2 linked regions of the Nothobranchius furzeri genome follow. The protein of the gene in region 1 interacts with the protein of each later gene in a pairwise test. Links are inferred from orthologs where the notes say so. Each region holds a gene or a part of one and is shown on either strand. Other genes may lie near its edges. The genes, in order: dachd and E3 ubiquitin-protein ligase RNF14.

Region 1 (3,819 bases):
GGTCCCCCCCCCACCCCCCCCCCCACCCCCCACCCCCCCCAAGGCACTTCACAACATATTAAGTCGCTGGTGGTGATGAGCTACAATGTAGCCACAGCTGCCCTGGGGCGCACTGATTAAATTGAGACTGCTGAACACAGGCGCCACTGCTCCCTCTGACCACCACCTGCAGGCAAGATGGGTTAAGGGTCTTGTCCAGGGACACGACAGCAGCATTCTCTGGCGGGAGCTGGGATCGAATGTCCTAGGCAGAAACCAGAATAAAATCATTCTTAACTGTACAAGTTTATTCCAATCCAAAAACACAGCATAGAAACAGCTAAGTCATATTAGCAATAGCTAATTGCTAATTGTTCATGTTTTATTGGACTGAATAGATGTTAAATTATCTTTAATGTTGTAGAAATTATGTCATAGGAAGTAAAGTTGATAGAGGAAGCTAATGAAAAGGCTTTATTCAATAGAGCTGCCTTCTTTATTTTATGTTTCCCCCTCTCCTCTAACACGACCAGATCTCTTGATGTTTAACCATCACCTGCAGTTCCAGCCAGTTCAGTCTGGTGGCGCTGTGGCTTACACGAGCGAACAATATTTGCAGGACCTGAAGAACCATCTGCCTGCAGCGTTCTCGTTTGCACAGACAAATCTGGAGAAATCAGCTGAGGGCAGGAAGGCTTATTATGATCAGAAGGCCTCACATTCTGAACTCAACATGGGTGATGAGGCCTGGTTCTACATTTTCGCTCCTAAAACTGGGAACACCAAGAACACCTCTGGGAAGCTGGCTAAGAAACTTTTGCCGAAGTGGTCAGGCCCACTTTAAACTCGACTCTCTCTCTCTTCTGTTGTCTCTGAGTGAATACGAAGCTGTTATCTAATCCCTGCAATAAAACGTTCCTATCTTCTGGTTTAAAATAACCTCGCAGATCCATAAGGCTGATTTCATATTTGCTATGGAATCTTTTGTCTTATGGCTTATTAAATAGCATGTAATTTCAATCATTAAAATTTTTTGAGCCAACATTTGGGGAAAAAAAATCTGATTCGGCTCAGAAAACGTCACTTGGTGCATTTTTGTTTTTTATAAACACACATTTTTAAGTTTGTGCTTTGAGATCAAATTGTAGAGAAAAAAGTGAATCAGTACAAAACAGATTTCATTACCAAGCTCTCACACTTTCGTTAAACTGAAACACTCACACACATTAACACCACCCATCGACTCAGAGAGCTGTTTAGACATCAGCTCAGACCCCCTCAATCAGAAAGATGAATGCCTTTCTCCGTCTCTCTGGGTGTAATGATGTGTGGACCCGCTGCCCTTCTCATTGCACTCGTTCCACCGTCATCAGAGTCCTGCTTCTCCTTTGGCTCTGCGGTAATTAGAGCGCCACAACAAAACCCGTCGCGAGCTCCCAACACTCCTCTTAGTCATCTTTGATAATGATCTTCGCCTTGAATATTTATATACAAATCAACTAAATGAAACCAAGCAGAAAATGAAGATAAAGCAACTTAGAATAAATTGGGGTTAGAAGAAGCAACAATTAGTAAGCTATCGTCCAGTGCATTTGATCTAATTGCATGTGGATGGGGAATAATTGTGATGAAGGTCTTCATGTAAGAATGCAGAGCTGTCTGAGGTGATTCTTACCTTTAGGCTGAAGAAAATCCCCTCACAGATGTTCTAAAGCAGAGGTTTAAGACATATGTACGAACATTAACTAAAGCTAATCTGCACTAATCCTTCTCTCTTATTTTCCTTTCAAGGAACAAGATTTTCGTTTAATCTTTTAAAGTGGTCTTGATCAGCCATTTTAGTCATTTTCTGTCCAGTTCTTGTGTGTGCTTACATAAACACACAAAGAAAGTCAGAGTGAAGGACAAAAACAGTAAATTAGGTATAAAAACAGCAACTACACCTTAAATACACATTAATGAAAACGAGAACACATATTTAGATAATAGGTTAAATGTGACCTTGAAGGTGCAGCTACTGGAAGGTCAAAAGGTGCAGACTTATCACCACATTAAAGTGACAGTGTGTAGTTTCCTGGCACTAGGGGGCAGTGCGTACATCTCATGGTAGTTTTAAAGCACATCGCCGTGATGTTACCTGTGGAACAGGAAGCATGCCTCGGCGTGACTCCTCAGACTTTGATGGTCATCCAGTTAATTCAATCAAGAAAATTCTGTGCCAATTGTAATTTTCTGGTGCTGTAGTTTACGGATCAGCTCGGGCTCCTGCACCTCAAACTACGGCAATACCGCTCGGCAAAAACATATTGCATCTCTTTCTTTTTTATTCTGCTCTTTCACATAGGTTTTGGAAAGAGTTTAGCAGTTTTGTTTTTTACTTTCTGAACGTTTTCAAATGTGGTAATGTAACTTCTGTAAGTCGTACGTCCATCCAGTCATCTTGTGTGACATCATCAACAGACGCAGGAACCAGCCAGAAGGAAACGTGATGCTAGACCTGAGCCCTATTAACTTTGCACCTGATTCTTATGGTTATTTGTTACAAGGCCGCTAATATTTTGCAACTACTGGACATAATTATTTTTATTTTTCTACATAATTTCGATGGATAATTCCAACGTTAAAAACTACACATTCTCACTTCAATGTCAGCCGTCTTTAGTGAAGATAAACAAATAATTCAAATTCCACATCAGATTTGTGTTCCAAAAAGCTGTTTTGAAGTAATTGCACTAAGAGGTAGTCCATGACGTCAGAGCATAGTTTTCCTCCACACCACAAGTGGGCGCTATACATCAGTTGAGTTCTGCTCCAGTCAATGTTCACACAAGTCATTTAAAGCTTTCACAGTGGATAAAGAGGAGTGTTTCTACAATTAAAGGACTCTAAAGCATGGGTTGAAGCCACGAGCTGCTAAACACGCTAATGTTGGTGAGGATGTCTGCTAGATTTTCCAGTTATTGAAAACATTAGACCAAAATCTGAGGCCACAGTACCTGCTCGTGTTTTTTATCAGGTTTTTTTTTCTGTGTTAATTTTCCTTCTTCCATCATTAATCACATTTAAATATAATTATTTATAATGTTAATATATAAATAAATGACAAATCAGTCAAACTAATTTCTACATGCAAATCATAAAATATAAAAAATAAGCCCAGTTTAATCTCATGTCCACAGATGATCAGACATATCTGGCTTTTAGTTTTTAAACATACATTTTAATGACTAAAAAGGAAAAGATTGCCTGTCACTTTATGTAGAGGTCTTAAATAGTCTTCTTCACCTGTGTGTGTGTGTGTGTGTGTGTGTGTGTGTGTGTGTGTGTGTGTGTGTGTGTGTGTGTGTGTGTGTGTGTGTGTGTGTGTGTGTGTGTGTGTGTGTGTGTGTGTGTGTGTGTGTGTGTGTGGGTGCAGGGCCTTCTGAAAGTGGCAATCGACAATGCGCGAGCTCAGGAGAAGCAGGTACAGCTGGAGAAGACGGAGCTGAAGATGGAGCTGTTCAGAGAGCGGGAGCTCAGGGAGACTCTGGAGAAGCAGCTCGCCATGGAGCAGAAAAACAGAGGTACTACCTGCCATTGTGTGTGTGTGTGTGTGTGTGTGTGTGTGTGTGTGTGTGTGTGTGTGTGTGTGTGTGTGTGTGTGTGTGTGTGTGTGTGTGTGTGTGTGTGTGTGTGTTGGCAAGCATGCGTGACAGTGTGTGTACAGACTTCACAGGGTTGTGCTCATTTAGATACAAAACGCTCCAGAATGTACTGACACAGTTCTGCGTGTATGTGTGATGTTTCGCCACGCCGCGTCTCCTCAGTTCCACATAAAATCGGATAGGTCTTCCTGTTCTG
Region 2 (4,570 bases), on another chromosome or scaffold:
ACACAGCTTCCGTTATTTCACAATAAATCGATAAACAAAAAGCGTTTTTTGTTTCATATGCACAGGTTTAACAACTTTTAACAACTATCAATGGCGGTTGAACTTTAAATGCACAAAAATAAGCCATAAATACAGTTTCCACTATCAAAGTAGTCACACTTTGTTGATCCAAACACTGCTGATCTCTCAACACAAATGATGGGCAGATTAAACAGTTCATTTCGATGCTTCTCCCACACAACGGGTGTTTGGATCTAATTTCCGCGTTTATTGCTCGGACTGTATCGCAAGATCTCGAAAATCCCATGCATGCCTGTCTGCGCACCTCAGGTCTCCGCACCGGAGTAGAGCGGGTACCAGTAAAAATTGAGTTCGGAAGCGAGCGGCTGCGGAAGGCGGGGGCGGAGCGGAGCGGAGGTAGAGGGATTTTGGGGTGAGCCCTGGTGTTTCTAAATATGAGCTTTAGTTTCTCCATTAGGGGGCGCTGGTCTACCTGAATGTTTGTTCCACAGTTAGGACAGCATTTACAGTTCTCCTTCAGCCAATCCCGGCTAAAAGATTCCTCCACCGCTTTCTGCACCACCTGTTTCCCAAAACGCTGCTCCATGAACTTCTTCCCCTCAGGCGTGGCTGACAGGTACTCATCTCTCAGGCTGCGCAGGTCATCTGGAGAACAAGGCAGAAAGAAAACGTAGCAAGTGAAACCGTTTCCTTACTCCTTATGAGCTTCTGAGAGTTTGTCTGAGCCGTTACCTGCAGTGATTTTGCAGTGAGAGACACCGTGATAGCCCAGCTTACACAACGTGCAAAAAGCATACTGGCAAGCTGAGCAAATGCCCATTGTTGTGTCTGGTTCCACCATTACAGCAGTTCCACACGAACGGCGGGGACAGTAGACCACATCAGCCATGAGGTCCAAAGTGGACTGGAGCAGCAGACGGTCGTAGCGGGCAAACAGCTCCTCGTCTACCAGCTGTTTCACCTGAGAGATGAGATCAGGGCAGATAAAGTAGAAAACAACACAATTATCAATACGGTTGGGCTGAAGCTGAACTTGTTAAAAGCCACATTCCTGTAGAAGTGCCTGACCTGTGATGGCGTAGCGACTGACGTGCATTTGGGCTCGGGGCAGTTAAGGCACTGAACATTGCCTTCTCGTATTTGAATCTCAAAGTATTCTCTCATGCAGTCCTTGCAGTAAACGTGCAGGCACTCCTTAAAGCAGAGGCAGGTGGAGCCCAGCTTATCCGCGAAGCAGATCCCGCAGCTGAACACCTTTCCGTCAAACACCCGTTGTCTCTGAGTTTCGTCAAAGTCCAGGAGCTGACGTAGGGGGTCGGAATGAGGGTCCATCAACACGACAGCTCGCTGGTCTGGATGAGACAACAGTGAACCGTGCTGCTCAGATGTCTCCTTTATTACTTCTGTTTTCTTCTCCTCTGGTTTCTCTGAAGGAGAAAAGACCAAAAAGAGAAGTTCCAATGTGCATTCAAGGATTTGAAAAGTTAACAGTGGTGTGAAGAGACACCTGGGTAAGAAAAGAGATGTTCTGATGGAAAGTATTATGATGCAACCTAATTTTGTCAGGAATGAAAGCCAAAAGAGGGCATGAGAAGTACTTACAATAATAAAATACAGAATTTATTTGAAAAACAATAACAGCAATTGCAGTGTTAAACCACATTTTCTACTAGCAAGCTTTGGTAAAATGCCTCATCATACCTTTGCTTGCAAGGTCAGTTTTTCTTCGTTCGCCAGCAGCCTTGCTGTTCCTGATGACTTCCACGGGAGACTGGATGCCCAGAAATTCTAGGGGCTCCTCTTTGAGAAACTGGATCCATGTGAAAAGAATCTCTGATCCCTGGTTTTCCTCCCACAACTCATCCAGATGTCGGCATAGGGAGCTCAGCTGGAAGAATCAAAGAGCAGAGGAAGAATTGAAGAGGATGCCAGAGGAAGATGCTAGATGTGGCATTTACAAAAGGCCTGGATGAGTTAGTACGACTCTTACCTGGGATTTGGTCATCCATTTAGAGCTGAGAGTGAAGGATGGTGGACGTGTGGAAGGGTAATCTGAAGGAAGCTCAAAATTGAGCACCAAAGGAGGTAAGAAACACACATTGTGTTCAGTTGTCTTCTCGCCTGCAACAAAGAAAAAGGGAGGCTAAAGCAGAGTAGTGAATCTAAATGCACAGCCTGTAGGGAAGCTGTGCACCAGTTGCACATCTTGATCACCGATACCTTTTACAAGAACTTTAAAACCAGGAGGAAGCTCCAGACAGAGTTGGATCTCTCCTCCTTGTGCAGACTCCGCACGGCGGAACTCCTCCTCATCATAGATACTTGCTAATGCAAGCAGCTCATCCTCCTGAGCTTCCTTATCCTCAGACATTTACATTCCTGGAACAACAACAACATCTAAAATTTACAACAGAAACAAATACGAGTACTACTACTGCTAACACTATACCACTTAGTGAAGAAAAACACAAACTAACGCGTTTGTGTGTCGACTGAATTAAACATTTCAAAACTTTCCTAAAGACATCAAAATTAAATAACCAGATGGAGCTAATTTATAATTAAATGCGCAAATATTTATACTTTGTAGGAACTTAGCTAATGCTAAGCTAAGTTGTAGCTTATAAGTTAGCACCCAACACAATATAAACCACCACTTTTACCATGCCAGACGCCATGGTTGCTAGATTATAAACCAGCATCGATTAAATACATAACATGTCTAAAGATGGAAGCAGCTAACAAACTCGGTTGATTGCCTAACGAGGGTAAAGAACACCGGTATTTGTAGCTAGCTAACAGCTAGCTGATGTAAACAGTAGCTCTGTGGTAGCAACACATTTTTAACTTTTCTTTCTGTTGTGTGATTAAGATACAATAACACAAACAACATCAAGACATGTACAACAAATGTTGAAAATTTATTTCATTTTATTACCTTTTCTGTCCCAAGTGCACAAGTGACTTTTGCCCTGATTGGTTCCTGTCATGACGAGTCACGACGTCAACTCCTTACACACAGCCCGGCACTCAATCCGGCTACATCCGAGACACATCCAAACACCGCCTTCTCTGCCGGTGAATATTGGTATGCGAATCCACTGACAGCGCCCCCCAGTGGAGATATTGTGCCACTGCGAATTATTGCAGTGAAAGCGGGAAAACTAAACTTCTCTCTACATCTCTCTGACGGGAACGTTCGTGTGGTAGCAAAAATCACAAAAAAAGAAAGAAAGCCCATATGTGGGAGTAGCCAGTTAGATAAAGTTACTGTTCTGATTATCATTATCTATTAAAGAGACAATATGTAGTTTTTAAAATTAATCTCATTCATTGAAATGTTGTTGAAAATGAATTAAATGATGCCCATTTGTTGAAAAATATTGGTGGCTTCATAAGTGGTAGAGTGGCCGCCCTGGGACTGAGATTGGGGTTCAAATCCCGGTCAGGACACATCTAAACTCCTCTGATTTGTGTGTGTGTGTGTGTGTGTGTGTGTGTGTGTGTGTGTGTGTGTGTGTGTGTGTGTGTGTGTGTGTGTGTGTGTGTGTGTGTGTGTGTGTGTGTGTGTGTTGCTATGATTCAGCTTGCTCAGTAAGTGGAGGCAGAGCTCAGTCTTTGATCTGCTGCATTCATAAACTCAGCCTCACACACTGACAGCAATAACCCAACATCAGTGTGATCTTGTCTAAAATGGAGCAGAATTGTTATCATATTTATTATCTTCCCCCTACTCTCAGTTCCTAAATCCAACTGAGGAGTTTTTCTCTTCCTGGAGGTGGAAGGTGTATGATCAGCGTCCACATACCCAGGTGACACCAGCCATGGATGCAGCTTGTGATGACATCACAGCAGAGTCATGCAGAGCGTGGATTCAGGAAGATACTTCCCTCTGTGCGTTGACAGAGCTGATATTTGCTGTGATGTAGATGAAAATATGTGGCCAGACTAACGGGAGCGTCTAGTTGTCCATGTCTGATTTGCAGCACCATCTGTTTTACAGGATTTTTAGATTCAAAACTACTGCAGTAAGGTTTACTGAGCCAAAGGGAGTTTATATTTGTTGTAAATGTTGTTTTTCCAAATGCTGTGAACAGTAGCAAATGTACAGTATAAAGTGCATATTCATTGTGCTGATTTTGATTTAATTCTAGTTTTCTAAATGCCATGCATCCTATACAACGCTGATTTGACTCTACATGACTTTGGGGAGCACTTCCAGAGTCATGTCACAATGAAAACGTGTTCAAACCGTTTGACTTGATAGTTCAAAGATGCTGCTGTCATAACTTTTCATTGTGACGACACCGACACTGTCATTGACATAAATACTTGCTTTGAAGAACAAATGATCCATTTTGATGAAGGAACTCGCTTTTGAAGAATGAGCCCATTTTGAGCGACTGACTTGCTTTTGCAGGTTATCTACCGTGTTTTGTACTTTACGCTAATTGTTTGGAGAAATGTCTTAGCAGTGGTGCAAACTTTACTGCTATTCATCACAAGGCTGATAACTAAAGCAGCATCAACTCTGCTGAGTAATCATTGC

Evidence for each region.
Region 2: the proteins of dachd (region 1) and E3 ubiquitin-protein ligase RNF14 interact in binary tests that used the Homo sapiens proteins (3 or more experiments, as listed by UniProt). The two-hybrid records come from large-scale screens. The link is inferred for Nothobranchius furzeri from reciprocal best matches to the Homo sapiens genes DACH1 and RNF14.

What each region holds. Positions count from the first base shown.
Region 1 is NC_091754.1:28,486,664-28,490,482, forward strand, and holds part of dachd (dachshund d), read left to right. Parts: intron 1-3,394; coding exon 3,395-3,542; intron 3,543-3,819. UniProt on the Homo sapiens protein: Transcription factor that is involved in regulation of organogenesis. Seems to be a regulator of SIX1, SIX6 and probably SIX5.
Region 2 is NC_091750.1:54,469,203-54,473,772, reverse strand, and holds the start of E3 ubiquitin-protein ligase RNF14, read right to left. Parts: upstream 3,093-4,570; 5' UTR 2,960-3,092; intron 2,401-2,959; 5' UTR 2,393-2,400; coding exon 2,242-2,392; intron 2,143-2,241; coding exon 2,012-2,142; intron 1,910-2,011; coding exon 1,723-1,909; intron 1,449-1,722; coding exon 1,090-1,448; intron 983-1,089; coding exon 754-982; intron 667-753; coding exon 494-666; intron 1-493. UniProt on the Homo sapiens protein: E3 ubiquitin-protein ligase that plays a key role in the RNF14-RNF25 translation quality control pathway, a pathway that takes place when a ribosome has stalled during translation, and which promotes ubiquitination and degradation of translation factors on stalled ribosomes.